Linked DNA regions of Caenorhabditis elegans. The protein of the gene in region 2 purifies or fractionates together with the protein of the main gene of each other region. This does not show direct contact. Each region holds a gene or a part of one and is shown on either strand. Other genes may lie near its edges.

Evidence for each region.
Region 1: the proteins of T10B5.3 (region 2) and eif-1.A fractionate together in Caenorhabditis elegans (co-fractionation; one large-scale study listed by BioGRID). This does not show direct contact.
Region 3: the proteins of T10B5.3 (region 2) and Y23H5B.5 fractionate together in Caenorhabditis elegans (co-fractionation; one large-scale study listed by BioGRID). This does not show direct contact.

The regions. Positions count from the first base shown.
Region 1 is NC_003282.8:4,806,928-4,815,344, reverse strand, and holds eif-1.A (Eukaryotic translation initiation factor 4C), read right to left. Parts: upstream 4,412-8,417; 5' UTR 4,410-4,411; coding exon 4,310-4,409; intron 4,263-4,309; coding exon 3,978-4,262; intron 3,931-3,977; coding exon 3,665-3,930; 3' UTR 3,362-3,664; downstream 1-3,361. Other genes in the region: srw-94 (G-protein coupled receptors family 1 profile domain-containing protein), read right to left, coding at 29-307, 492-710, 766-860; srw-95 (G-protein coupled receptors family 1 profile domain-containing protein), read right to left, coding at 1,316-1,357, 1,408-1,537, 1,911-2,158, 2,236-2,362, 2,410-2,688, 2,850-3,068, 3,116-3,216; H06H21.37 (uncharacterized protein), read left to right, coding at 5,381-5,554, 5,650-5,797, 5,848-5,861; ubxn-6 (UBX domain-containing protein 6), read left to right, coding at 5,858-6,394, 6,877-7,278, 7,328-7,438, 7,492-7,755; H06H21.11 (uncharacterized protein), read left to right, coding at 8,053-8,135, 8,189-8,417.
Region 2 is NC_003283.11:1,861,977-1,873,716, reverse strand, and holds T10B5.3 (Small-subunit processome Utp12 domain-containing protein), read left to right. Parts: upstream 1-5,145; 5' UTR 5,146-5,155; coding exon 5,156-5,349; intron 5,350-5,400; coding exon 5,401-5,628; intron 5,629-5,677; coding exon 5,678-5,916; intron 5,917-6,616; coding exon 6,617-6,816; intron 6,817-9,208; coding exon 9,209-9,235; coding exon of another isoform or gene 9,236-9,338; 3' UTR 9,339-9,539; downstream 9,540-11,740. Other genes in the region: cct-7 (T-complex protein 1 subunit eta), read right to left, coding at 1-238, 796-1,317, 1,376-1,465; T10B5.4 (aralkylamine N-acetyltransferase), read left to right, coding at 2,017-2,217, 2,288-2,526, 2,587-2,701, 2,983-3,141; knl-3 (Kinetochore NuLl), read right to left, coding at 3,356-3,529, 3,593-3,883, 3,937-4,503.
Region 3 is NC_003279.8:2,493,586-2,503,448, reverse strand, and holds the start of Y23H5B.5 (U3 small nucleolar RNA-associated protein 15 homolog), read right to left. Parts: upstream 5,316-9,863; 5' UTR 5,314-5,315; coding exon 5,022-5,313; intron 3,478-5,021; coding exon 3,042-3,477; intron 1,471-3,041; coding exon 995-1,470; intron 1-994. Other genes in the region: ddx-10 (ATP-dependent RNA helicase), read right to left, coding at 6,188-6,781, 8,097-8,513.

The DNA.
Region 1 (8,417 bases), on a different chromosome or scaffold from region 2:
CAATAATTATTTTAAGTTATATAATCACTTATTCAATGGCTTCCAGTCTCCAATTTTTACAATATCGTATCGGAAATAAAATATAAAAGTGAGAGGGAGACTTAGAGCAAGTGCTCCCATAAAAATGTAAGCTCCAAACTTTGAAAGTGTGACTTTTCGAAATGCACGTCTAGTTGAATACTTCATAACTATCCAGCGAATTAAAGCCATGGCTACGCTGAGCCACGTGGAACATCGACGAAAAAAATCATTGATTACTATATTAATCCAGTACATATGAAATGGTGGAAGAGATAAAGGAGGCTCACTGAAAAAATAGGCACAGTAGGTAGATCAATTGTGGAAATTTTATAAAAATTACTCCGCCAGGTTAAAGAACATAAACAAGTAGTACAAGACAATCGGATTAAAAACAGAAATAGGTGGAGCCTATTTTTGATTTTTATAAGGAACATCGATAACTGGCCTATATCTTTTAGTGGTAAACTGACCAAGGTTTCACATTAAATTCTATCATTAAATACAAAATATTATAAAACACAGAAGCCACCATTGCAAGTATATCACAAAGAGCCACTCCCATCATTATCAAAATTACTGAAGATTTCAAAATTGATTTTTGAGATAAAACGAATAAATGGAAAGATGTGGTAAAAACGCCAATAATGGAAAATACTATATTCAAGGCAATAGATGGATGAACAAAATTTCTGAAACAAAAATGAAATATGATCTGGAATTTAAGCTGAAAAAGCTTCAACTTACTCGACGGTTTTTAGAAAGTGATAAAGTTGAATTTTAGTCGCATTATCATAACTTGGAAATGCTGAAGTCGCTAGGTTATAGGTATTCTCATCCATTTTTTTTTGGGAAGAATTACCAAATTGAACGGAATAATTTTTAATCAATGCCACTTGCATGTGTGCTGTTGTTATAACAGCAGTTGTTTCACCTGTCGTTTGGTGCTGAAATTTGAAGCTTGAGCTTCAGGAATTTTGCTCAACAAAAAAAAACAAGGAAAATATTGAGTCAGTTAGTATTGTAAGCGGGGAGACCTTCGAAAAATAGTATTGCAGCCATATTAATAGAAGAAATACGGTATATAGGTTTTATAAACATGTCATTTTCTAAAAATCATTTTGTCATGAACAAGTCTCATAGATTGTTCTGTTATTATAAATATAGTGAAACCGTCATCAAATGTTAAAATATTTCACTTCATCTTTACACTATTTCAATTTGAGTTTATTTTCCATTTTTCGGAGGACAGTTAAATTTCTTTTTAAATTAAAATATCAATAAAGTGGAATTGTGATCAGGTGTAGCTAGAGCTGACTGCAATGATGATGGGTGGTCGCTGGAATAAAAATAATTTGTAACTTAATGAGCCCAAACTTTGATGGTTACATCATTCTTGAATATTTTTGAAACTGCCCTCCGATATTGTGATGACATCAGAAAGAAGATGGCGCCTTGAAGAGCCGCGTGTAGAACAAAGAAGGCACTTGAAAATTGTGCAACGGAGGTTGCCATTCTCCTGAAAATTTTGATTTCTCAAAAAAAGAATTCCCACACAAATATTTCCAATTATTCTATCACGTTATCACTTAAAATCTGAAAAAAATTGGAGTCCATCAATGCATTTGAACTAAATGTAGATCCCTTTTTTAATAGGGTTAACAAACCAGAATTATTACGGTTTCACTAAATGCATAAAATTACAGCAAAAAAGTGGAAAAATGTTAATCCTTTGAAATTATATTCGCTATAAACATGTCGTATAGTTTGTATTATCATTATAATTAAGAACAGACGATAGATTAAATATGTTTGTTTAACTTTCGGGTGGCATATGTTTTCATTATTTTCAAATATTGCCAAAATTAATTTCTAATTATTCAAACCCTCACCAGTATCCCAAGTCAGTATATCCAAATTGTAAAACACGAACAATTCCATTTGGAACTTCAATAAGAAATGTAGAAGCTGTTATAAATACGACTAGCCCCGTGGTTCTTTCTGTACTGGCAACTGACTGGGTTTCATTGATAATTACTGGTCTTATAGTTAAATTTAACATTCTCTGGTGATCCTTGGCTTTTTTGAGTTCGACAATAAGCATATAGGTTAGAACTGGAAGCAGAAAACATGGAAACAGCTGAAAATTATTTTTATTTTTAGGAACCAAAAATTAGTTCTTGGTTAATTGCTTTAGTAAAAACAAAATTATCCCACTTTGGAAATTGTTCCATTAATCAATTGATATACTTTTCCTACAAGTCCATCGTTAGCCTGGTAGACTTTGGATTGTACCAAAGTGAAGATAACACGAGATTCTGGATAACTCGTTGCAAATGTGCAACTGAAAGTGTATTTTTAATTAGGCAAAGGTTGTTAAATCTGGATTACTTATTCATAGGCTTCCAGTCTCCAATTTTAACGATATCGTATCGGAAATAATATATTACAGTTAATGGAATGCTTGATAACAACGTTCCAATAACTAAAGTGAATCCGAATTTGGGAAAATTAACTTTTCGAAATGCTCTTCTCGTTGAAAACTTCAAGACGATCAGTCTGATTGTGGCCATAACTACGCTGAGCCACGTGGATGTTCGACGGAACAAATCATTAATTACTACATTGATCCAGTACATATAAAAGAATGAAAGTGGTGCAGGTGGTTCACTGGAAGTGGAAAGATGAGTTGATTTAACATCGGGTTACAAAAGTCAAGTACTGTTTACTACGTGATCTCTTTAACTACGATTTAACCACATAGATCTTTTACTACGTTGGGTTACTGTAGTAGTACTGTGGAACTAAGCTTTTGAATAAATGTACTTTACCAGGGTTTCACATTAAATTCCAAAATCAAATAAAGATAGTTATAAATAATAGAGACAAACATCACTAATATATCACAAATAGCGATTCCTATCATTATCAAGATTACGGACGATTTTAACATTGAATTTCGAGATAAAACGAATAAATGGAATGATGTTGTAAAAATCCCAATTGATGAAATTACAATATTAATGATTATTGATGGATGGACAAACTTTCTGGAATTTGACGGTAATATTACGGGATTTTCAAAGCTAAAACTTGCTCAACAGCTATAAGAAAGAAATATAAATCAATTCTAGTCGCATTATCATAGCTGGGAAATGCAGAAGTTGATAAGTTATAAAGAAGCACTCTGTCAATCATTTCATTCAAATTCAGCTTAAAATAACTGAAATAAATAATTTTTACTATATGAATACACGTGGCCGCGAGTTGTGACATTTTGATGCAAATGTTTCACCTGCTTTTCGGTTTGAAGGTCGAGAGTTGTGTGCTGCTTTAAACCCATAACAAGAAAAGTTTATCAGAAAACAATATAAATGAAAGGAAAATAGTGGAATACGGGATAATTTGCAATAAATGAGTTGTTTCATCAAGTGGTGTCCGATGGACCGAAACCTTGAGGTTGTGTTGATCATCGGACACCACAATCGAATTATTTCACTTTGTAGCATTCAAGTAACGGAATTTCGGGAGACAGAGAAGATGGGAAGATAATGTCTGAAAAGGATCGAAAGAGAAACAATGGATTTTTAGGGGGAGAAAGAACAGAAACCGGGGGAAACAATTAAAAACCAATAATTTAATCAATTTAGCGTCTCTTTCCGTACTTGTTCTTGCCACCACGATTTCCGCCGCGACGAGTGTCCTCTTTAAATCCACGACCAGCTGCCAAGTCCTCTTCCCGAATATTGTCCGAATCATCTGAATCTTCGTCTGATTCCTCTTCAGAATCATCGTCCGATTCTTCTTCCTTATCCGATCCTGCCTCTTCGTCAGACTTCTCCGAATCACTGTCTGATGAATCTGAGTCAGACTTTGCTTCTCCGGCCTCTCCCTCGTCTCCGACGTGATCCACTGAAAAAAAATTGAACTTCATTAATTTTCAGCAAAAATAAACTTACAGAACTCAACCTCTCCCTCGTCTTGTTCATCGTTCTCATTGAGCTTGGCGTTTTCTGGGATAAGTCCCTCGTTCTTCAAACGGCGAGCTTCATCTGGGGTGTACTTCAGAATAACATCTCCCTTGTCGTCTTGATAATCTCGGAGACCGACGAGAATGATATCTCCCACGTTGATCCAAACCTTCTTCCTCAACTTTCCACGAATATGGCAGACACGCTGCTTTCCATCAAAACAGAACACTTGAACACGACCGTTACCAAGCATTTTTGAGACTTGTCCATATTCTGGAATTAATGCTTTTGTTTTTCGGGAAAGAAGTTATAAAATCTACCTTGTCCCTCCTCCTTGAGGTCGAGCTCGCGCTTCATGAAGTCGTTCTCATTCTTTCCTCTTCTGCGATTCTTTCCTCCCTTTCCCTTATTCTTCGGCATTGCTGAAAATATTACGAAATAATTTGGAAAGTTGAAGTTACGAGAAATACAGAAGCAAAGAGGACTGCAAAAATTGTAGAAAAAACAAGAACATAAATATGCATAAGGTAATGTCAGATTTCAATGGAATTTAACAAAAAATTAAGAAGAATGAGTATACTATCCCAAAATAAACAGTTTGCTTGGATTTCGTGAGTATTTTGATGAAAAGTGATTTCTAAAAATTGGAAATAATAATTTTATCAGCGCTTGAGATTAAAATTATGTCGTCAATCGACAAAAATAAACAAAATAACAGAAGAAAAATTTCAATGAAAAATCGACGAAAATGTGGAGTGCACAGAAAAGTGGGCGGGGTTTGCTATCGCAAGAGCGCGGCGCGAGGTTACGTAACTGCGGACTTGGCGACACAATTTACGACACTCGCTATTTTTATTTTTTATTTTGCTTATTTTTTATTTTTCTCTCTAAAATTTTGTTGTTTTAACGAATTGTTTTCGGAAAAAAGTTATTCAGAATCAAAGATTACTTCATAGAATATAATTATTGTCCAAAATATAAAAGAATTGTAAGATAAACATCTCAAAACGAACATTTAACCGCAAAAACGTATTTTGGGAAAACAATCACAAACTTTTCACGCAAAAGTGTTTTACCTACATTTTTTTGTAGTTTATTAAGTCACAAAATTAACGACATCATGAAAAATACAGCAGATAATATTTTTCTGTCCGAAAGCTTTCCCCAGTTTAGTTTTCTCCAATAGAAAAACTCCAAGTTTTTTATAGCGTTTTCGAGATGAGCTTTTTTTCAAATTTTCTGAAATGAAGTTTGAAGTTTGTATACAACCCAAAATATATGTTTATCACCGTGCAATATCACAAATGTCGTCATCGCCTTCTGTCCTATTTCGCAATCATTAATTTCCGCAAATCTCTCTGAAAAAGAACTACAATTCCAGCTATTCTTGCATGGGAGAGCCTCTGGTCGCCGAGCCGACAACTGAGCAGACTCCGTTGAGCACAAATTCAGTTGCTTATCAGAGCTCCGACGCGCTTCCAGATTCCTCAGAAGCATTCGGAGTAGAAAACGTTTATCGTGCTTTGATTATCTTCTGTGATAATTATTCGTTGGATAAAAAACAAGTGCGTTAGAGAACATGTTTTTGAGATTTTCGAAATTTTAACGTGAATTATTGTTCTTGTTTCTGTCTAAAATGGCCAAAATTTGAAAATTTCAGGTAGCTCTCGGACTCTTTCTTTCTATTCTACTTTTCATCTTCTCTGTTGGCACTATCATTGCGTGGAATCGATATTCACCAATCATTCAGGAGTTTATCATAAGAGAGAACATTGAGAAAGCGAGAAATAAGAGCAACGAAAAAAATAGTAAGATATTTAACAAGTTCTGCACTGATAACCATTCCAATTTATTTCAGAGAAAGAAGAATGAATAGTTTCAAGAAATTCCTCAACAAAAAGCGAGTCCAGAATCACTTCAAAAAGAGCGGTGAAGGTGTTCGTTTGTCATCCGGCGAGTCATCTTCGCAGCCTTCTGCCCACGCTGGAGCCGCCCAGGGAGGCCAAATTGATCGTGTCGCGGCCGCTGATATTGCTGCTCAGGCTGCTTTCAAACGGATGCAGAAGAATGAACCTCAACAAAATGCTGGAAAACGAAGAATTCAAATGATTGCAAAACGAGAGCTGGAAGAAGAGAGACGTCAGGTTGAAGATCTCAACATTTCTGGGACTTCATCACTGCAGCAACCCGACCGTGAGCAACACCTCGAGCATTCATCCGCAATATCACGTGTTCTCTACACTTCCGAGTTGCTCGGTGAGCATCATATTCGCTCGAAAGCAGATCTTCTTGAAGATATCAAAAATTTCCTTTCTGATCAGATCAGCGAGGCGGATGATGAAAACGATAAAGTGATTGCCGCAGTTTTGATGCTCTATTCACTTAATAAGAAACATCCCAAGGAGGTTTGTGTATGCTCAGAATTTCAAAATATCGAAAAAAAATGAACTCATTCTGGCTAAAATCTCCAATTTTGTCAACTTTTGTGTGTTGCAGCGGTCGGAAAATGTTTTTTAATCTATTGTAATAGTTTCTCACATGTTATAATAACGTTATTTCGTTATTTAGCCAATTTGATCATTTTTAGCTAACAATAGGCTAAAAAAGTTACTTTGTTAACGGAATATTTCGGCAAATTGAAGAGTTTCGCTAAAATTTGCCCGTTTTTTTTTTCTCAAAATTTTGAACCGCCATCATAGTTTTTGTGACATTTTTGTCACATTACCGTTGAAATTAAACTATCTATCCGCAAATTTCGCAAAAATCAGCGTCGCACAGAAAGAAAAAATCAACACGGATTTTTGTAAATCTGCGAATCGGTCGTTTCACCTAAACTGTACGAAATTCGTTGTTTTGGTAGAAAAACAAACAATCTTCTAAATTTCAGACTGCCATCGAAACAATCTGCAAGTATTGTCAAAACATTTTGGAACACCCAGGAGAGGATAAATACAAATCAATTCGTTTGGGAAATAAGGCATTCCAAGAACGAGTTGCATCAGTAGTTGGAGGACGTGCATTCCTTGAAGCTGTTGGATTTACTGAGAAATCTGAAGGAGAAGACAAGTTCCTTGTGTTCACAAAACCATCAGATGTTCATTTGGTGGAGGCTCTGGAAGCTTTGAAGGATGGGCAGGCTGTGCCTATAAAGGTTGCTAGAAATCTAGAGATCTTCAAGCTAAAAGAGGGGCAAAAACCGAAAGCACCAAAGTTGGCAGATGATTTTTACAATTTGTCGACTGCTGAACTCAAAGCCGAACAGAGAAATAAGGAGATGCAGGTGGAGAGAGTGAGTGGAGCTTTAAATTGAAAAATCACACAATAAATTGAATTTTTAGATGCTGACATTGCGTACGAAGGAAATGAGACAAAAAGACGAACAAATGACCAATTATCGCTACAAATATACGTTGATTCGTGTCAGATTGCCTGGAAATTTGTTGATGCAGGTATGTATATTCCAGAAATTCAAGTGATTAATTATTTTATTTTATTTTTCCAGGGAGTATTTGGTTGCCATGAACCATTTTCCGCAGTCCGTGTCTTCGTTGCTTCAACTCTTTCCGATGCTCTTTCGACATCCGAATTCACTCTTCGTGACGCTGCCAGTCAACTCGTGGAGGATGAATCTGCATCGTTGGCTCAACTCAGTCTTGCTCCAGCTGCTCTTCTTCATGTCGTCTTCGCTGAAAACCTGTCTGATTATGGACAAATCGTTGCCGATGAGCATATCGAAATTATCCAGGAGCTTGAAGCTTCCGACTAATTTTTGTATAATTTAAAAATATAATTCCCGGCTATTAGTGTGATATGTTTGTCATTATTTTTTTCCGGTACTGCTGATGTTTTATTTCGCCTAATCGCTTTCGTTGTATTTAACTTATAAGATGCAAAAAGATTCGAGCAGCATATTAAAGATTTTGTACAGAACCGCACTTTAACTGTTTCTCTATTCGTTGTATATCGATTTTTATTTTGAAAATTATTCACTCTATCAAGAAGAAGCCGAAATTCCGCCCACTGCATCTTTTTTCAGTTGTGCTTCTCCAAAAACCATTTTCAGATGTCACAGGATCCCACGATCTCCAATTTTTTAAATGGAAAACCCATCATCGCACCTGTCGGGCCATCTTCTTTATTAACCAGGTTACTTTGAAGCAATTATTTAATTTTTAAGAAAAATTAATTCGAAATTTAAGATTACAATCGTTCCTGCCTCAAATGGAAGAAGCCAATCGAAATATGCCGGAAAACGCGTCAGCTGACGCTTTTCATATTGAAAATGTCGAGGATGACAGCTCGGACGACAGCGATTCGAATTCAGAATCGATTTCGGAAGAGGTACCTGTCACAACTGACGAAAAGAGCACAGCGAGTAGTACACAGAGGATTGAAATTGATTTAGACGTGTTCAAGGAGATGAACAGC
Region 2 (11,740 bases):
CGCCGGAATCGTGAATCTTCTGAAGCTTATCGTAAAGAATATTCCACTCAGCGTCAACGACAGCTTGGAAGTCGGAAACGTTGGTCAGACGCATCTCAGCGTTCTCTTTCTCTGCCTTGAGCTCCAGCTCAATGTTAAGAAGAGCCACTTTGACATTGGAGTACTTCTTTGGCTGCATTTCGAAGCCAGCATAACTGAACGCTTTTTGGAAGGCAACTCCTTTGATGAGACGGGATTCCTGAAATTTTTAAAATTAAATTAAAAATAAATATTAATTAATTAAAATAGAGGTATTTCGCCTTTCCACTGAAAATATGCGGATTTTTCAGCTTAACAAATGTTTTTCCTGCATTTTACTAACAAAGCTTTTGGTAAACAGTGAAAATCGAGTTTAAAATGACTAGAATGAACATTTTTCGTCCAATGGTTGAGGAATGATTTTAAATTGAAAAAAAAATCAACGGGATTTTTCATATTTTCTAAATATTGTCCTATTAAAAATCGGTTTTAAACCATTTGTGACTTAACATTAGGGTCAAAATGGTTTAAAATCGATTTTTAATGGAAAAATATTTAAAAAATAAGAAAAATCCCGTTGATTTTTTCAATTTCTAACCATTCCTCAACCAGTGGACGAAAAAAGTTCATTTTAGTCATTTTAAATTCGATTTTCACTGTTTAAAAAAGCTGCTTTGTTAGTAAAATGCAGAGAAAAACATTTTTAAGCTGAAAAATCTGCAATTTTCAGTGGAAAGACAAAACACCGCGTGATAGACGACTTTTCGATTCACTAACGTGCAAATTTCCTCCGTTGACCTTCTTGATTCCGATCATGTTCAATGGAAGATGAGCATCCAACGTGTTCACAGCATCGACAATCATATTGGCGAAGAAAAGCCGTTCTTGACTGACGAGCTTGCTGCTCAACGTGGTTGCAGCACACTTCACAAGCATCTCACGGAGCTCCGTCTCGCCATTAATTTTGATTTCCAAATCAGCCAAGTTCTTCAGCGTCTTCTCGCAAGCTTTTCCGATGGCGCGAATGAGAAGTTGTGGATGGACACCGTCCTCGATGAATGGCTTCATTTGCTTCAGAATTTCGGCGGCCAAAACGACGACAGACGTGGTTCCGTCTCCGACTTCAGCGTCTTGAGAACGAGCGATATCAACCATTGTGGAGGCGGCCGGGAAGACAATATCCAAAAGCTTCAGAATTGTGGCTCCATCGTTGGAGATCGTCGTGGCTCCCTTGCTATCGACGATGAGCTTGTCGAGGCCACGTGGACCCAAGGTGGTACGGATACTGTCGGCGACAACCTGAAAAATACAGCATTTTAGGCATTTTTGACTAAATTTTAGAATTTTAGAAGCTAACTTGACAAGCGTTGATGTTGGAAATGATCTGACCCTTTCCCTGCTTGTTCTCAGTTCCGTCCTTGAGCAGGATAATTGGTGGGCGCATCATCTTGCTCTGAATTTGAATTATTAATTTTTAAAGCACGAGTATAATATTTTGAAATATTAAGAGCGATTAAAACGAGGGCAGAGAAGACAAAATTCGAAGATTTTGATGTTAAAATGTGTAGAAAGTCTAGAAGTATTATATTAATGAAGAAAATCTGGAAAATTCACAAAGATCCAGATGAAAATCGAGAAATAGTCCGACGAAAATATTCCTTCTCGAAACAATTCCCAGGAGCGGCGCGTGCTTGCGTCGCGGCTCGCGGCCACGGCCACCAGCCACAAATGCGCTCCATTGAGAATATTGCAAAGCAGAGCTCTCAGAAGCTCCATAATCGTCGAGTAGACACTTCGGTGAGGAAGGGGAGAAGTAGAAAAGCAGGAAAAGGAAAATGTCAATACTTGGAAGCATGGGAAATATGTGTGGTGAAAATGCAAATGTAACGCGTGTTGTCTCGGAGGTTCAGAGAAAAAGTGAGGGCTCACAGAGCTCTCGAGGAATAGTCTTTCACTTTTGCTTTCTTTTATTTTATTTTTATTCGCTTTTTTCTGCAAATGCCGGAGCTCACATTCCAAACTGGGCTCCTGGAGCACAAGGACCAAGTTCACAAGTTCCTGGTGGAGCATTTTAGAGTAATGGAGCCCATCACAACTTCATTGAGCTGCTCGGAAGAAGATGTCGCCGAGTTTTTCGTTGATTTGACGATGAGCGGGTTGGAAGATGAGAAAAGTTCAATTCTGGTTTTTGATGGGGAAGTAGGTTTTTGTTTTTTGTTTTTCAGATTTAATCTAGCTTCCCGCAAATTCTAGAAAAAAAAGTGTTCAGGAAATCGTGGCAGTTTGCCTGAATGCCGTCAAAGAATGCTCTTTTGTTTCCGAATCGACCCCATTCAATCCACACTGGGATTTTAACGCAGAAATCACAAATGGCCAGTACAAACACGAAAATGCCAACAAGTTGGTGGCATTCGTGCAGGTTTTGGAGCAAGACTTGTCGTTTTTGACTGGAAATCCGAAAAAAGTCTTCAAAATCGATGTGCTGTGCGTGTCGAAGGCTTGTCAAGGGTAGGAAGCAATTTTCTTCTTTTTTTTTCTTGTTCTCCTAGGGAATTGTGCTCAATTTAGGAAGGGAATCGGAAGACAGCTCGTCGAGAAGAGTCTGGAAAATGCTGTGAAGGAAGATTGCGAGTACGTGGCAACCGTTGCAACTGCTGTGGCTTCTCAGAATATTTTCAGCAAGGATAGTAGTTTCTTATTCAATAAAATTTCCGCTTTTTACGAAAAAAATAGAGCGAAAAGTCAGAAAACCTATAAAAAATACAGTACCCGTGTTTAAAGGCACACACACCACATCGGAAGCGTGGCGAGACCTTTGACCACGTGGCAAGACCAATTGAGGCACCACGAAATCTAGAACCGGTGGGATATCGGATCTGGCCCGTTTCTTTGCGTTGGCACTTGAATCCGTGGTGCCTCGATGAATTTTCGATCTAAAAGCTTCAAAAACTAATAAAATTCCAGTGTGGTCTCACAACACTTCGCGAAATGCCATTTTCCTGTTTTCGAAACAATGGCGACGTGGTTTTCGAGAACCTCGTCGACGGTGGAGTCAGCGGGAAACTAATGGGGAAGAAGCTAGAAAAACATGCAAATGAGGAGGAAGAGGACGACCTTCGATAGCGATAGCAACTCAAATTAAAGAAACATATATTTATAAAGGACCAAAGCAGCTAGGATCTCAACTTCAGATACTCAAAACCAATAATTAAAGTACACGTAATGAAATTGACACTTAATAAGCAAGACCTAGGCTATGAATAAAATATTATACATGTATTTATGAAATCAATTGTGTCAGAAATAGAATATTATACAGAGCGTGAGAAATCAGAAATCAGAATTCAAAAATTGGAATCGGCTTGATTTTGCTCATTAGAGCATCGATTCGCTCGAAGCCCTGCTTGATTTCCTCCCGGCGAGCGAGCGCTTCCTCTTCCTCTTTTCGCATTTTCGCCAGAAATTCATCCTTCTCTCTCTTGATCTTGTTGAGACTCTCCAGCTTTTCTTCCTGGAAATATAATATTGTATTTTTATTTTTAAAAATCATATTTAAATAATTTGAAACTCTCACCAGCATCCCGCGCTCATCCTCCAGCTGCTGGTTCTCCTTTTGTGCAGTATTCACGTTTCCGGCATCCTGGGTTTTGTCGAGAAAACTTCCGTGAAGTCTCGCAACGATATCATTTGGCGATTCTTCTTTACGCAGAGTCATGTCCAGGGTCTCGAGGCGAAGAGGCAGAGCGGACGAGATGAAGCTGTCCTTGGCGATTTCAATAGCTGACTTGAGCTTAGTTTCGCGGGATTTGAAAACCGCTTCCATGTCGTCGATATTCCGCGCCAGCTGTGCATCGTATTGGCTCATCTGAAAATGAAAATTTTAGATTTAAATGTAAAGTTAAAAATCGATAATACTACCTCTTTGATGTCGGTGGCCAACTTTTTCATGTAACCCGACATCTCCTGCGGAATCTTTGCCATCAGAAGCTCCAGTTGCGTCGAGTCATCAGCCTTGCGATCCTCGTTCGTAGTGTCTTTGCTGGTGAAGAACAGACGCTTCCCAGGCGTTGGCATCGACTTTCTCGAGGATCTTCTGCGTGGAGTCGTCGATTTTTCGCAAGGAGTTACGCCACGTGTCGGCGTTGCTCGCTGGGGCGACGGAACGATGGTTCCATCAACTTCCATCGGCTCAACGTCGTCGTCATCTTCGTGTTCCGAAACACTGAAAGTTTCTGGGCAACCTTGTGTTTCGTCTGGAACCTTCAAAGTAGGGCCACTAGCGCACGCGTCTGCAGCCAGAAAGGTGCCGTCTTTATTTCTGTCGGTGACTTCCGAAACATCGTGCTCGAGGGCAAAAACTGGCGGCCCTGCACGTGGCACCTCTCGAGCCACTTTCTTCTTTGGAACTGCTGATGATGAGCCGACGGGTGATGCGAAGAGCGCGGCTCTGACCGAGAATGTGGTGTCGTTTGATTTTTGAGACATTCTGAAATGAATTAGTGATTAAAAATGAGAAAATAACGTTGAAAACAAAGAAATGGCTTATTTTAATATGAAAATCCAACTTTTTTGATCTAAAATTGATAGAAAACGGGTTTTTCTATTTGAAAATAAAACTCATTTTTGTTAAAAAGCTTGCAGTTTGCCGAAAAATGCCGTAAAACATTATTTTCAGATAGACAAACCCGTTTTCTGCATTTTTATTTCAATTTTAGACAATTTTCGCTTAAAAAAGTTGGATTTTCATGTTGAAATAAGCCAGTTTCGTGTATTTTCCGGAAAAAACTGCCGCAAATGAAATGGAAATAAGAGAAAATCGCAAATTTTGGGCCCAAAATCCACCGAATGAAGGGGTCACGTTCAAAATTCGCGGGGTTAATTTGCCGCGCCAACCCCGTCACTGACGCATTTCTCGTCGCTTGCGCGTTTGCGGTGCAAAATTTTTAATCTTTATTTTCCTTATTTCCAGGCGTTTTTGAAGAGTTTTTCATGGTTTTCAGGCGTATTTTATTGATTTTTTATTGTTCTTATTAGTTTTTAAAGCTTTTTTACCGTGAAATGTATCTTTTTTGCGATTATTGTGCGTAAAATGGCCTTAAAATCGAATTTTCCAATATTTTTTTGCAGTTTCCAGAAAATGGCTCGAGAACGGAAAGCCAGGAAATCAAATGTGGCGGCAGTTACATCTCCTGCAACTCCTGAGAAAATCGAGTCCCCTGTAGTAAATGGGCATTCGCATATTAACGGTTCGCTTCGAAATGGGAAAAAACTGAGTGAATCGGAGAAAGAGGCCAACAAACCGCTCGGAGATCGTGAAAAAGAGCCAGCCACGTAGGATTATTGGTGGATTTTCGATAATATTCAATTATTTCCGATTTTCAGGCCAACTTCTGAACTCAAAAAGGGAAAAACGAGTGGTAGCGGCGGTGGATCACAATGTGTTCTGCTTACTCAGGGAATAATGGCTAATGATAGTGCAAAAATCGACTCAGTCATTAGAAATTTGAATTCTGAAATTATTCACGCTACCCTCCGTGATCTCCAGCCGATGCAGGTCTTGCCATTGCTCAAAATCATCGAATCTCGCTTGAAAACGAGGAATGCTGCAGAGTAAATCGAATTTTTAGTACTAATTCCTCCTAATTTATTGATTTTCCAGCATTCGTCCAACCATCCGATGGGCTCAAATCGCCTTCTCAATTCACATGCCTTATCTCAGCTCACTTCCGAATTTGGAGAAGGAAATTGGCGGTTTAATCGGCTGGCTGCGCTCAAGAGTCGGTCATCATCGAGATTTGTTGGCTCTTCACGGAAAAATATCCACAATCGCTGATCTTATCAAGAGACGAACTAATAATGTGGTTATTGTGCAGCAGCCGTTGGTTGTGTTCAATAATGGTAATATTTTGAGCGGATTTTCGCGGAAAATTACGCGCAAGATATTTTCCAGCGGAAAAGCCTGTGTTTCCCACGTTTTTCAGTGAAAATTCACTTGGTTTATCTGAAAATAGCATTGTTTTTAGTGGAAAAAGTGGAAAAAAACGCAGAAAAATGCAACTTTCAGGCAATTTTTGGGCATTTTCTCCAATATTTCTGCTGAAAAGTGTGTTATTTTCATATAAACCGAGAGAATGCGGCAAAATAGAATTTTTTGTAGATAAGCTCGGAAAATGAATTTTTGCAGGTTTTTTATAAAAAAACATTAAAAATCAGATTTTTCCGCGGTTTTTAGTATATAATAAGGTGAATATTCCTGTTCTCAATTATTTTCGGAAAATTCTACAAAAAGCCTGTACTTCCCAAATTTTTCAATAAAATCAGTCTCAAAACATAGAAATTCACTTGTTTTTACTGAAAATAACATTATTTTTAGTGGAAAAATTGGAAAAAGAGCAGAAAAATTGCCTGAAAGTTGCCGATGACCGATTTTTCGGCAACTTTCGGACAGTTTTTAGGCATTTTCAGCTACAAAAGATGATATTTTCAGTTAAACCAAGAGAATTTATATATCTTTTGTAGAATTTTCCGAAAAAAATTTAATTTTCAAAATGGCCGAGGTCTTATGAAGAATTTAAACCTATTTTTCCCCAATTTCCAGATCTTGATTCGGATTCTGAAGATTTTGACACAATTGGCTCGGATGATGACGGTGAGAGCAGCGAAGACGATTGGTGGGAGGATAATGAGCTGAAAGAGGATGAAGAAGAGAATCAGGATGACGATGACGAGGACGATAATGATTCGGATGATAGTGAAATGGACGCAGATAGTGCCGAAAGTGGCGGATCTGGATCTGAGGTTCGATTTTTTCCACTGAATAAGACACCACGGATTCAAGATTTGGTGGAATTCCGGATTTGGCACTGTGCCAACGAATAAAACGCAACTTTTCTCAAAGAAATACGCTAAACAACTCGTGACGCGTAATACCGGAGCATCGTTGTCACGTTTTTTTTCGAAAAAACTGCGGCAGTTGGCACGATGCGAGATCCGGAATTCCACCTGATCTTGAATCCGTGATTCCTAAAGTCAATTTTATGGGAATTATATTTAAAAAAAAATAGACATTGTGATATGGAAATAGTGGAAATACAGTGAATTTCGCTTCAAAAAATCTTAAATAGTTTTAAATTTAAAAAAACGGAAAAATAACGAGAATTTTCAATTTTGACTGAAATTCCTCCAAAATTTCGAACAATTTTGATTAAAAAACGATAATTGCCTCTTTGGAAACCGGAAATTGGAGTTATGAACTGGAAATTCGAACAAAATTTCGCTAAATATGTAGAAAATAATAAGTTCAACGTTTTTAGCAATTTTCAGAAATATCAATAAATTTAACCATTCTATTACGGGAACACAAAACTCCGAGAATGCGTATCGAACAACATATTTGACGCCCAAAATATCTCGTAGCGAAAACTACGGTAATCCTTTAAATGACTACTGTAGCGCTTGTGTCGATTTACGGGCTCGCTTTTTGTAAACTTTTTTTTTTCGAATTTTGACACCGATATTCAATTTTCCATCGTCTTTTTTCCTATTCTTTTTTCATTTTTGTGCTTATTTTTAATATTTTATCCAGTAAAAAATTATTTTAATTGAAAAACGTCCAATATTGGCTTCATTTTTATAGGGAAACTTCTACAAACGTATTTTTACATTATTTCCTGTTTATTGCCGGGTTTCAACTGGAAAAAAGCCTGCAATAGACGGAAAATAATGTAAAATACGTTTGTAGAAGTTTCCTCATCAAAATGAAGCTTATATTTGACGGTTTCAATTAAAATCATTTATTAATGGATAACATATTAAAATTAAGCACAAAAATGAAAAAAAGAATACGAAAAAGCGGAGGAAAATTGAATATCGATGTCAAAATTCGAAAATAAAACATTTTCAAAAGACGAGCCCGTAAATCGACACAAGCGCTACAGTAGTCATTTAAAGGATTACTGTAGTTTTCGCTACGAGATATTTTGCGCGTCAAATATGTATTTTCATTATTTTGTGGCACCGTAATATTCCAATGAAAAATAGTTCCCCACTCCCCGCCGTCTCTCTAATATCATAATATCATTAAACCTGTCAAATATCTCTTGGAAAATGGTGAATCTAATCTGCGCCTGAATCAGTACAGAAAATCCATTTTTATTAAGTTTTCTAGGGTGTAATTTCAGTTTTTGTGATGTTGTTGGGCAGCCAGAAGTCTCAGGGCGCGCGCGTACGCAATATCTCATCACATTGTATAATGAGAACCAGATTTTTGTTTGTGAACAGAAGCTATTACCTATTTTTGGATAAAGAATACATCTGGAAAGTAGTGATTTGAAAGAAACAAAAATTTAATATAAACTTTTTTTATTTAAATTTTGTGCTCTAGAATATCCGAAATAGCCTGAAATTCAGAAATATCACAAAATAAAAAGCGAAAAAAAAATGATGAAGAAATAACGAAAAACCCCTTAAAAACGTGAAAACTGCAAGACCAATCAGCGATTTGTACTCCGCCCACCTTTGAACCAATCAGCCGAAGTGGGCGGAGTTCGACGGTGGTTAATTGTTTTTCGGTGAAAATTTAGACAAAATCGAATTAATTTTCATTTAAAAAATTGGATTTTCATTATTTTTTTTTTCAAAAATAAAAAATAATTTAAAAAAACGGAAAACGAAAAATTTTGATTTTTTGTTTTTTTCAGAGAAATAATTGAAAAATCAAACAGTTTAGGTGTTTTTCCAGTAAAAAAATAATTTTTAAAAAAATCAGAAAACGAAAATTGTTAGGTTTTTTTTTCAGAAAATTGAAAATTTGAAAATTTTTAGGTTTTTTTCAGAAAAAAAACTTTTAAAAATCGAAAAATGGAATTTTCCGCTTTTTTCAGTGAAAATCGAAAAAATTAACTTTTTTTGTTTTTTCAAAAAAGTGAAAAAAAAAACCAAAATTTATCAACTTTTATCAGTACATTTGAAAAATTTCGATTTTTCGGTTTTTTCAAAGAAAATCAAAAAAAAAAAGCGAGAAAAATAAAAGAAATGTACGGAAAAATCTCATTTTATCAAAATATGTTGATTTTAATGAGAAAGATTTTTTTCCAAAAAAAAAAAACAAATATTGCCTTTTTTAAATATCAAATTGAAAAAATCTGTAAAATCACAAATTTTCGGTGTAGAAAATCCAAATTTTTTCCAGAACGACGAAGATATGGAGGTCGGATAAATCGTCGGTTGCCTTCGCCTTCGCCTACATCAATTCTCTCTTCTGTTGTTTTTTCTCCGTTCTTTCCACTGATTTCCCCCCCGTCTACAAAATCACTGAATAAGAGTTGCAGTTACTCTGTCCCTGTTCCTAACTGCACAGTTTTTTTATTGTTGTTGTTGTGTGTTGTTAGCCTTTTTATTTTTTTTTTTCAAAAAATTGTCCTCTTCCCATCCAAATTTTAACATTTTCCTTGCTTTTTTCCTCATTGTTATCATCATCGTTTTTTTTTGTTCCTTCCAGGTAAATTTGAGTATTGTTGAATTATTTTTTTTGGATTTTTTTTTCAGAGATGTCGAAAATCGAAATTTTTTTGTCGGAAAATTCAACAAATTTCGATTTCAAAAAAACTTTAAAAATTCTCGTTTTTCTTTTGAAATCAGAAAAAATAGATTTTCGATTTTTTTTTAATCGAAAAAAATGGATTTTTGAAAACGAAAAATTTCGAATTTCGATTTCTATAGGATAGGAAAACATCTTTTTCATTTTTTTTTTTGAAATTGAAAGTATTTCGATTTTTTATGAAAAAATTTAATATTTTTTGAAATCGGAAAAATTCGAATTTTTGAAGTCAAAAAATGTTAGATTTTCGATTTTTATGAGATCGGAAAAAATTAGATTTTTTTAAAATCGAAACAAACTTCAATTTTGAGATCGAACAAAATTTACGATTTTTTGAAATTGAAAAATTAGATTTTTTTTTTTGAAATCATAAAATGAATCTAAAAAATCGAAAAATTGAGATTTTTTATGTAATCGAAAATTTACGATTTTTGAATTCAAAAATCGATTTTTTTTCGAATTTTTGAAGTCAGAAAGTTTCGTTTTCTATTGGATCGGAAAAATTCAATTTTTATTTAATCGAAAAATTTGGATTTTTTTTGAAATAAAAAAAATTTTCAAATCGAAAAAATTCGAATTTTTTTGAATTCGAAAATTTTGAATTGAAAAAATCAATTCAAAATCTTTTTGAAATCAAAAAAATAAATTTTTTTAATCTAAAAATTTTTTGATTTCAAAAAATTAGATTTTTTTTAAATTAAAAAAATCGAATTCTTTGAAATCAAAAAACCAAAAAAAAATAAAATAAAATTCCCAAAAAAAGCTTCACCCTCCAAATTCCACCCTCCAAATGTCGCGCAACTTCACCAAAGAAAAAAAAACTTAAAATTCATCTTGAGAGCATAAAAAAGTGCCAAAAATTTTGGTGGTGGCGCTACTTCATTTTCGCCTGCGTCTCTCACCTTTCTCACGTTATTTCGCCTGCCCCCTGTAAGCCTCTCTTTTGAAGTAATTGAATTGGGGGCTCTTCGCCTTCTTCGGGTGCCCCAATTCCCCCCCCCCCCATTCAAAAAAACTCTTCATACATACAAAATTTGTTGGGAAGTAGGAAAAAAAATTGAAAAAAAAAGTTTTTTTTAGTTTTTTCCCCAAAAAGAAAATTTAGTTTTACAACTTTTAGCAATTTTTCACAGGGTTCTGGCCTTCCTCATTGAATTTTTCGCGCTCCATTGACAATTGCCAGCTCGGAAAGTCGTGTACTCCACACGGACAAATACATTTAGAACTAAAATCGAGCCGCGACGCGACACGCAACGCGCCGTAAATCTACCCCAGATATGGCCGAGCCAAAATGGCCTAGTTCGGCAAACTCTTCCATTTCAATTTATGAGGAAAGCCAGAATTCCGTGTCTTAAGCAAATTTTATGTGAGAAATTTCGCGAATTTTTCAATGTTTTCGATGTGAAATCGAAACAATTTCACGGCTTATCAGCTGCGGCAGCGAATTTGGAGAAAATGTGTTTCCAGGACAGATTGGGCGCCCGCACTTGTCTCCGAAAAATGAACAACCTAATTCGGTTTTTTTCTTTTTTTTTTTGGTCGTCATCATTTTAAATACTAAATGCAATTGTCCCAATTTGTCGTTTGGGTTTCATGGCCGCGGAATAGAAAAATGTCGGCCATCAATTTATTTGCGAATTTAAAAAAAACGAAGTGTCCAAAAGGAATTTTTTTGTCTCCGATTTTTTGAAAGAAAACCCCATTTTGTATGGCCTAGTTTTGTGGCCAATTTGTCTTTTTTAAAAGCATATAGACAACCATCATGGATTTCTGGCTTCTCTCATAAATTGAAATGGAAGAGTTTGCCGAACTAGGCCATTTTGTATCGGCCATATCTGGGGTAGATTTACGGCGCGTTGTGTGTCGCGTCGCGGCTCGGTTTTAGTTGTAAAACTAATGTATTTGTTCGTGTGGAGTACACGACTTTCCCACGCGTCGTCCGGCGAGTGATTGTCAATGGAGCAACGAGGAAGGCCAGAACCCCTTGATATCACGCAAGGACGTACAGGTGGCCGCGGAATAGGTAAACTAGGCCATCAGTTTCTGTGTCGCAGCCGAGCCGCAAACCAGTCAGCCTGAAAAAAAAATTGGTGGCCTAGTTTTCCCATTTTCTTGACAGTGGCC
Region 3 (9,863 bases), on a different chromosome or scaffold from region 2:
AGCCAAAAAACTATCAATTTTTAGTGAAATTTATCGATTTTTTTTTGAAAATTATAGATTTTTTTTTTCGAAAAGTGTCGATTTTTTCGAAAAAATATCGATTTTTCTTGAAAATCATCAACATTTTTCAAAAAGTATCAATTTTTGTCAAAAAATAATCGATTTCAATTCGAAAAGCATCGATTTTTGCAGAAAGTATTTATTTTTCCAATAGTATCGATTTTTCCGAAAATTATCAACATTTTTCAAAAATTATCGATTTTTTATCCGAAAAATATCGTATTATTTTTCGAAAAGTATTATAAAATTTCATACTTCCTATATCAAATTTCCTTAAAAAAAAATTTTTTTTTTTAAGGAAATAGAACTATTATATATTATAGAAAATTTTCTGTCAAAAATATTTTTAAAGCTGAAAATACGTGAAATTCGAGAAATTGTGTGCATTTTTCTTGAGAATTGCCAATTTTCAGCTTTTTCAGCCAAAAACAGCTTCAAAATGTCAATTTTCGGTCGAAAATCTCAATTTTCAGCAGAAAATACAATTTTTTTTGAGCATTTTTCAGTGAAATTTAATTAATTACTAAAAATAGAGCTTTCCCACTGGAAAAATCGTGAAACATTCGATATTTTCACCATTTTTCAGTCAAAAATCTCAATTTTCAGTCAAAAATTCAACTTTTTTGAGCATGTTTCGGTGATTTTTGCAAAAATTATCGATTTTTTCAAGAATTATAGATTTTTTTTTTCAAAAAGTATCGATTTTTTTCTCGAAAAGTATCGATTTTTGCAAAAATTTATTTTTTTAAATAGTATCAATTTTTCAAAAAGTATCGATTTTTTAATCGAAAAATATAGTTTTTTTTCTAATTTAGAGAAATATGATATTAAAGAAAACTATCAATTGTTCATAGAATTCTGAAAATATCTCTATTTTTCTTGGCAATTTTCAAAAAAAATTATTGATTTTTCCAAAATTTTTCGCATTTTTTACCTCCAAAAAGGAGCTTAATAACCGCCGCATGCTTAAAATTCGAAAGCATTCCATCAATTTTCGGAATTTTCAGTTTATCCGCATTCTTGGCCACCACATCAACTTTCTGCATATCTCGATCCTTTTCGACAAGCTTCACAGGCGGTGCAGACGTTCGAATCAGCGATCTTTTGTCTTCAATGGCTGCAGACGCAGTGGCTTCTTTCTTAATCTCAGCTCTTCGGTACAGAGCCAACAGATTTCCCATTCCAATTGCCATTGTTTGATCATCACGTGATACATCAATATCAAGTACTGGTGATGGCATTGACCATGAGTTGATTAATGAATAATTTGTTGTTCTGAATGCATTCACACGTCTATCAATTCCGGCAGACAAGAGGCATGTGGAATTGGTGGCCAGACGAAGAGATGTTACTGTCTTGTAGTGAGCTTGAAGTGCTGTCAGTTGGCGGCCCGTTGTTGTGTCCCAGATTCTGGAAATATTCGCTTTTTTTTGTGGATTTTGAAAGGTTTTTTTTTCCATTTTAGTGCTGAATTTCAACAAATTTATTTTCGGTAAATTGCTGGTTTGCCGAATTTTTTTCAATTTTTTTTTGCCAGAAATTTTCAATTTTCAATTCTGGCAAATTGCCGGTTTTCCGAATTTGCCGGAAATTGTCGATTCCGGCAAGTTGCTGAATTTTCAATTCCGGCAATTTGTTGAATTTGCCGGAATTTTTAATTTCCGGCAAATTGCCGGTTTGCCGAATTTGCCAGGTTTTTTTTTGGGATTTTTTTTTGCCAGAAATTTTTAAATTTCAATTCCGGTCAATTGGCGAACTTGCCGGAAATTTTTAATTCTGGCAAATTGCCGATTTGCCGGAAATTTTCAATTCCGGAAAACTGCAGGTTTTCCGAATTTGCCGGGTTTTTTAAAAACTTTTTTTTTGCCGGAAATTTTAAATTCCGGCAAGTTGCTGATTTTGCCGAAAATTCTCGGCAATTGCCAATTTTTCAAATTTGCCGAAAATTTTCAATACCGGCAAGTTGCCGAACTTGCCAGAAATTTTCCATTCCGGCAAATTGCGGAATTTGCCCAAATTTTAAATTTCGGCAAATTGTAGAATTTTCCGGAAGTTCTCATTTCCGGCAAATTGCCAAGTTTGCCGAATTTTTTTCAATTTTTTTTTGCTGGAAATTTTTAAATTTCAATTCCGGCAGATTGCCGAATTTGCAGGAAATTTTTTTGCTCAATTTGCCAGAAGCTTTTAATTCCGGCAAGTTGCCGATTCGTCAAATTTGCCGGAAATTTTCCATTCCGGGAAATTGCCGGTAGCCAAAGTTTCCGAAATTTTTAAATTCCGGCAAGTTGCCGTATTTGTCGGAAACTTTAAATTCCGGCAAACTGCCTAATTTGCCGGAAATTTTCAATACCGGCAAGTTACCGATTTGCCGAAAAATATTAATTCCGGCAAATTGCAGGTTTGCCGAATTTGCAGGAATTTTTTTTGCTCAATTTGCCAGAAACTTTCAATTCCGGCATGTTGTCGAACGAAATTGCCGAAAATTTTCCGATCCAGCAATTTGTTACACTACCGGATTTTTTAATAATTTTTTTGCCGGAAATTTTAAAATTCAGGCAAATTTTCGAATTTGCAGGAAATTTTCCATTCCGGCAAATTCGCCAAATTGCCGGAAATTTCTAATTCTGGCAAGTTGTCGAACTTGCCGAAATTTAACAATTCTGGCAATTGCCGTTTTGCCGACAAATTCGCCAAATTGCCGGAAACATTCAATCCCGGCAAATCGCCAAATTTGCCAGAAATTTTCGATTCCGGCAAATTGCTGAATTCACCAGAAATTTTCAATCCCGACAAATTGCCAAATTGCCGAAAATGTTCAATGCCGGCAAATCGGCAAATTTGCATATATGGCCTGAAAACGGCAGTTTTTGAAGGAAAATCTTCAAAAAAAAATTTTTTTTGCTCGTGTTTTTGACGTTTTCAAGCATTTTTGCTCAAGTTTTCACTGAATTTTTGCACTTTTTCAGCTTCCAACTACTCACTTAACAATAGGACCTGCAGCAGTGGCAATAAGCTGCTCTCCAGGCAAAAAGAGCACCGATTCAACAGGATGCTCGCAATCGAGTTCCAATGATTTCTCTTTACTTCTAATATCCCATAGCCGAACTTTATGATCATAACCACCAGTCAGTACAATATGATCATTAATTGATGAAACTGCTCCACATCTAATCGCATCTTCATGTGCTTGAATTTCAATTATTGGAACGGCATTTACTCCGTAAGCCGTGTCTGCCACTCGATATTGCTTGATTTTTCCGTCATCGGCCATTGAGAAGACAGTATCACCACGTGGAGAGAAATGAACACTTTTCACAGTTGACTGAGAAGCTTGCATTACACGAAGAGCAACTTTACTCGAGCCCGTCGTTTTTTCCACGTCAAAGATGCGAACTTTTCCCTCGTCACCTCCGATTGCTGGAAAATTAGATTTATATTTGGAAATTTTCCAATTAAAGGAGGGGACTAACGGTTCGGACGATTTTGAACGTATAGGCCCGAAATGAGCTCAAATGAATGAATTTCGTAATGAAACTGCTCAACATTTTTTCAAAAATTTTTTATGGCGGTTCAAAAAATTGGAAAAAAATTTGACTGATTTTTGCTAAAATCTCCAATTTTGCCCATTTTTCTGTGCTACATCTGTCCGAAGTTCGTTCATTTTTTTTGAAATTATCATCCTTTATTGCATATATTGGTAGTTTATCTCATTTAATTTCGTCGATTAAAGTATATTTAAAGCCGATAGGTAACCAATTTTGATGATTTTTGGTTACCTATCGGCTTTAAATTTACTTTAATCGACGAAATTAAATGAGATAAACTACCAATATATGCAATAAAGGATGATAATTCCGAAAAAGTCAACTTCGGACAAATGTGACACCAAAAAATAGGCAAAATTCGAGATTTTAGCTAAAATCAGTGTAATTTTTTCGAAATTTTGAACCGCCATAAAAATTTTAGAAAATTTTTTGAGAAATTTCATTAAGAAATTCGTTCATTTGAGCTCATTTCGGGTCTATACGTTCAAAATCGTCCGAACCGTTAGTCCTCCTTTAAAGGATTACTGTAGTTTTCGCTACGAGACCCTATTTTGCGCGTAAAATATGTTGTGCAATACGCATTCTCAGAAAGCGTTTTTTTCGGCATTTAATTAAATGTAAAAAAATTGTCGGCTTTCGATCCGAATATTTTCGAAAATTTGAGAGAAAACTTTATTTTTTCAGTATATATTTTTTAAATCGGATTCTAAAAATTTCCGAATTTTTATCAAAAATTAGTGGCGTTTTGGTTGGTTTTTACTTCTTTTTTGAAAATTGTGTGTCAAAAAATATGTAAATTAAATTTTTTTCTTGATATTTCTCTGAATATTTTTCATAAAATTATATTTTTTTTCCAATTCTTGCAATTTTTCTAAAATAGTTTTTCTCAAAATTTGGTTTCAAAAAATCCCGAATTTGTCATTTTTCAAAGGTTTTTTGTGGGTTTTGCCAGATTTTTTATATGTGAATAAATTTTTTTAATTCAAAAACTAGCAAAATTATTGAAATTTGCATTGAAAATCGGGATTTTCCTCAAATTTTAAGCATTTTTAAAGAGGAATTTTTTATTGAAATTTGGATTTTTTCAATTTTTTAGTGGAAAAACGCTAGAAAATCGATGATAAAATTTTTTCTGAAATTTTTCGTAAGAAAAATGTTTTTTGGACATTTAAAGTTTAAAAAGGTGAGAAGTCGAAAAAAAAAATTTGCAATATAAATTATTGTTTTCTAGAATCGGTGTTTTAAAAAATCTCAAATTTGTCTTTTTTTTCGGGTTTTGCCCTGTGAATTTTTTTTTGAAAAATGTCAAAATTTTTATAATTTTCGAACTCAAATTTTTTTTGGAATTTTTCACTGAAAAACGCTTTTTCTAGAATTTTCGCGATTTTTCTCCATTTTTCCAGCTAATTTGCTCACCCAAAAGCCGTCCATCATGTCTAAAATCAATAGAGCATACTCCTTTTTTGAATCTACTAAATAGGTTCAATGGTTCACAGACTACTGTATCGTAGAGTGTTAGACGGACACTGCTAGTCGTTGCCACGTGATACGGCTTTTTCGGTGAAATTCTGACGGAGCTGACGACGGCTGGCTCCTGGAATACGGTGAGTTGTTGCATTCGTTTCCAATAAATGACATCTTCGTCCAAAAGAATTGTCTCTTGTTTTCTGGAGAGAAATTTCTCTGCGGGGAGGTATGGTTGAGCCATTTCTGGAAAAAAAACAATTTTTTTTGAGGGAAAATTCTGAAAAAAACTGTGAATATTGAGAGAAAATTGAAGAAAAAAGTTTCTTTTGAAGATCAAATTTGCCGGAAGTTTTGAATTCCGGGAAATTGCCGAATTTGCCAGAAACTTTCTTATCTGGCACACTGCCGAATTTGCCGGAAATTTTCAATTCCGGCAATTTTTTTCCAGAATTGGTTTCAAAAAACCTTTAAAAATTCTCAATTTGCAAATTTTTGATTGAAATTCGAGAAGAAAAATTGGAGATTTGTGAAAATCGAGAAGTTTCTTTTTTTCAAAAAAACGTGAAATTTTGTTATTTTGCAATTTTCTTTGTCTTAATTCGATAGATGCTGAAAAAAAACCAATTTTTGTAAACTTTAAACTTAAAAAATGGCTTAAATTTCGCTATTTTTTGCTGAATTTTAAGATTTTTGCCCGAAAAAATACCAATTTTTGGGTTTAAAATTAATTTTGAATCAAATTCTGATACCACAAAAGTGAATTTTCTTTTAATTTCGCAAAAAAAAGTACATTACTCGTGCGTTAAATTCAATTTTCTCGAAGCATAAGTCAAAAAAGCGTCTTAATTTTCGCAATTTTTCTTTTCAATTTTTAAAAATGGTTTTTTTTTCTGATTTTTGACCTGAAACATTTTGAACAATTTTAAAATTTTAAAAAAGATATAAAAATGTGCATGATAACACCAAAAGTAACAAAAAACGAGGAAAAAATCAAATAAATTCAACATTTTCTTTGGAAAACTGAAGAAAAACTCAAGAAACTCAAAAAAAAGAATGAATAACAAGTAACAACTCAAAAACAATCTAAAAAAACCGAAAAAACAATAAAATTTAAATTATTTCCTCCCAAGAGCCGCAAGAGCCTGTTGCTCCAAATCTTCCACCTCATCCGGCTCCTCCTCATACTTCCTTCTAACCGCATCCGGATCCGGGAGCCACGAGATATCCGGCTCATCCTCACTTCCATCCTCATCATACTCCACAGCTTCTTCCTCCTCAGCTCTCCGATTCTTCTTCGCAAGCTTCTCCTGTCTCCGTTGCTCGCGGAGCAGCTTGAACCTTTTCCGATCCTCCTTATCGCCACTTTTGATCTCCTGCCGGGCTTTTTCAATATCCAAACCATAGGAGGTGATAGTTGAGGGGCCTTCTTCGAGCTCTTCGAGCTCATCATCTTCTGCTCCAAATGTCTTTTTCGTGTTAACTTTAAGCTTTTTGTTGAGGATTTTCTTCGCCGCCGACACTTTTGTCACTGCTTTTTTGAGCGGTTTCGTCTTGGAAATGGTGATATTTGAGATCTTTTCAGCGGCTTCTTCTTCCTTGATCTGCTCAGGCTCTCCTGTAGGCTTTTTCACTGTGAATATATCCTCATCGTCCTCATCAATTGCGAATTTTCCAACTAGGGAAGCTTCTTCTTCTTCTTCTTTTACTTCCTGCAAAATGTTAAAATTGAAAATTTTATTGCAAAAAATGAAAAAAATAAGGTAAAAAAATAAGAAAAACCGCGCCGCACGGTTGCAAAATTACGCTCCGCCTTTTTTTCTGTGCGGCGCTGCTGATTTTTGCAAAATTTACGAGACCCGACCACGCCCATAAAACCATGCGGAAAATTCAAATTTTGCATACTCCGCACGGTTTCGGGAACAAAAATCGTGGCCACGCACGCCCATTTTTCCGTGCGGCACGAAAAAATGGGCGTGGTCTTGGTTTTCTTTTCACCAGTTCTCCTATCGGTGGTGCCTCGAATTTTGTGCCCAAAACCGTGCGGGGGTAGCAAATTTTGGTTTTTTTCCGCACGGTTTTATGGGCGTGGCCAATCTCCCAGCAGCGTCGTATAGAAAAAGAGGCGGAGCGTAATTTCGCAGCCCTGCGGCACGGTTTTTTTCGAGGATTTTACTCAATAAAGTTTCGATTTTACTTGGTTTATATCGGGAAAAAAAACAGTGTCACACGGTTGCAAAATTAGGCTCCGCCTCTTTTTCTGTGTGACACTGCTAGGGAGATTGACCACACCCATAGAAACGTGCGGGTTGCAAAATTATAATTTTCGGCTCGGTTTTATAGGCGTGGTCAATCTCCCCAACATCTTCGCACAGAAAAAGAGGCGGAGCGTAATTTTGCAAGACTGTGGCACGGTTTTTTTTTCCTTTTTTTTCAAAAAAATTTCGATTTTTCCAAATGAAAATATTATCCAATTTAATTCTTTAAAAAATCTTATAAGAATTCAATTGGACAACATTTTCATTCGGAAAAAACGAAAATTTATCGAAAAAAAAAAATCAAAAAAGGTGAAAAACCGTGCCGCAGGGCTGCGAAATTACGCTCCGCCTCTTTTTCTATACGACGCTGCTGGGAGATTGGCCACGCCCATAAAACCGTGCGGAAAAAAACCAAAATTTGCTACCCCCGTACGGTTTTGGGCACAAAATTCGAGGCACCACCGATAGGAGAACTGGTGAAAAGAAAACCAAGACCACGCCCATTTTTTCGTGCCGCACGGAAAAATGGGCGTGCGTGGCCACGATTTTTGTTCCCGAAACCGTGCGGAGTATGCAAAATTTGAATTTTCCGCATGGTTTTATGGGCGTGGTCGGCCGGGTCTCGTAAATTTTGCAAAAATCAGCAGCGCCGCACAGAAAAAGAGGCGGAGCGTAATTTTGCAACCGTGCGGCGCGCGGTTTTTCTTATTTTTTTACCTTATTTTTTCATTTTTTGCAAAAAAATGGCAATTTTTCAAAAAAAAAGTACCTTCTCCATCAATTTTTCGCCGCTTTTTTTGGCCTTCTTATTCAAAAACCTGACCCTTGGCACTGAAACCAGTCCAAAAGAATCCGCCAGAGCAGCTGCATCAATAGCCTCCACATCAAAAACCTTCTTATCTTTCATCGTATAAATCGATCGAAGATATGCGACAATGCTCTTCTGTGCGTACTCTTTCAACTCCTGTGACTCTGCGAGAATTGCCCGAAGCTTCACCCTAACATCGCTCATCGCATCAGGATGAATTTTGAGCTCTTCAATTGGAATCGAGTGCTTCTCCAACTTGCCAATCATTGCTTCTTCTTGTGACGGGCTCACCATGAGCAATGAGTTTCCAGAATCATCCATTCGGGCGCTTCGACCCACTCGATGAATGTAATCGTCGATTTGAGCCGGGCAATCCACCTGAATCAGTTTTTTTTCGGTTTTTTTTAAATAAAAAAATGAAAAATTTTGTTTTTCGGTTGTTTTTTAACAAAAACGAAAAATGTTCGTTTTTCGGTGCTTGTTTAAATAAAAAAAAACAAAAAATTTTGTTCTTTTGTTTTTTTTAATAAAAAAACGAAAAATTTTTCGTTTTTCGGTTTTTTTTTTAATAAAAAACGAAAATTTTTCGTTTTTCGGTTTTTTTAAATAAAAAAACCGAAAAATCGAAAAAAAATTTAGGATCAAATTTGCTCAAAAAGTGCAAATTCTGTGTTTTGTATGAAATATGGCCTAAAAATATTGTTTCCAGATTTTTTTTTGATTTATCCAAAAACGGAAATTTTTCGCTTTTTCGGTTCCTCAAAAATACCGAAAAATTCCACAAGGAGTACTGTAATTTTAAATTTTCGTTACCATAGAATTTTCATCGATTTTTTATAGTTTTTCTGTGAAAAATTGTGTTTTTTCCGTTTTATTTCCATATTTCAGTTTAAAAAAAATAAATTTAACGTTAAATTGATATTTTTTGATTGAAATATTGAAATAAAACGAAGAAAGCACATTTTTTAGACAGAAAAACCATAAAAATCGATGAAAATTTTAAAAAAATTGTCGTGTCGTGACCGGCTTTGGGCCAATTTAGGCCAATTTAGGTTAGGAAAAAGTCTCAGTTTTCCGCCAATTGGATTGGTTCGGTGGAGCGCACTTGCATTTTTTTTAATTAATTTTTTTTATTTTTCTCATTATTTCACTAATTTTCTTCATTTTCTGGGTTTTTTATCGGAAAAATAGACATAAATGCAAATTGTTCATTAAAAATCACTGAAAATGTGTGTAAAACTGTAAAATATACTAATTTCAGGCTTGTTTTCGTCGGAACTCATAATTTTACAGTTATACCCATTTTCAATGATTTATTAATGAACAATTTGCATTTATGTCTGTTTTTCCGATTAAAAAAAACCGAAAAAAAAGAAGAAAATCAGTGGAAAAATGAGAAAAATAAAATAAATCAATAAAAATTAATGCAAGCGCGCTCCACCGAACGAATCCAATTGGCGGAAATTCAAATAAGAATTTTTTGAAAACTGATTTTTCCAATTTTCAAAAAATTTTTGAATTTTTTTATCATGATATTCGGTCATTGTGACCCATAGGCGCGGTTTAAAGTAATTTCCCCACTGATCGTAGCCCACTTTTAACAGAAAAAAAACTATGAAAAATCGATGAAAATTTCAAGACAACGAAAATTTGAAATTACAGTACTCTTTAAAGGCGCACATCCGTTTGTATTTATCAAAAAAAATTGTCGTGTCGAGACCGGCTACC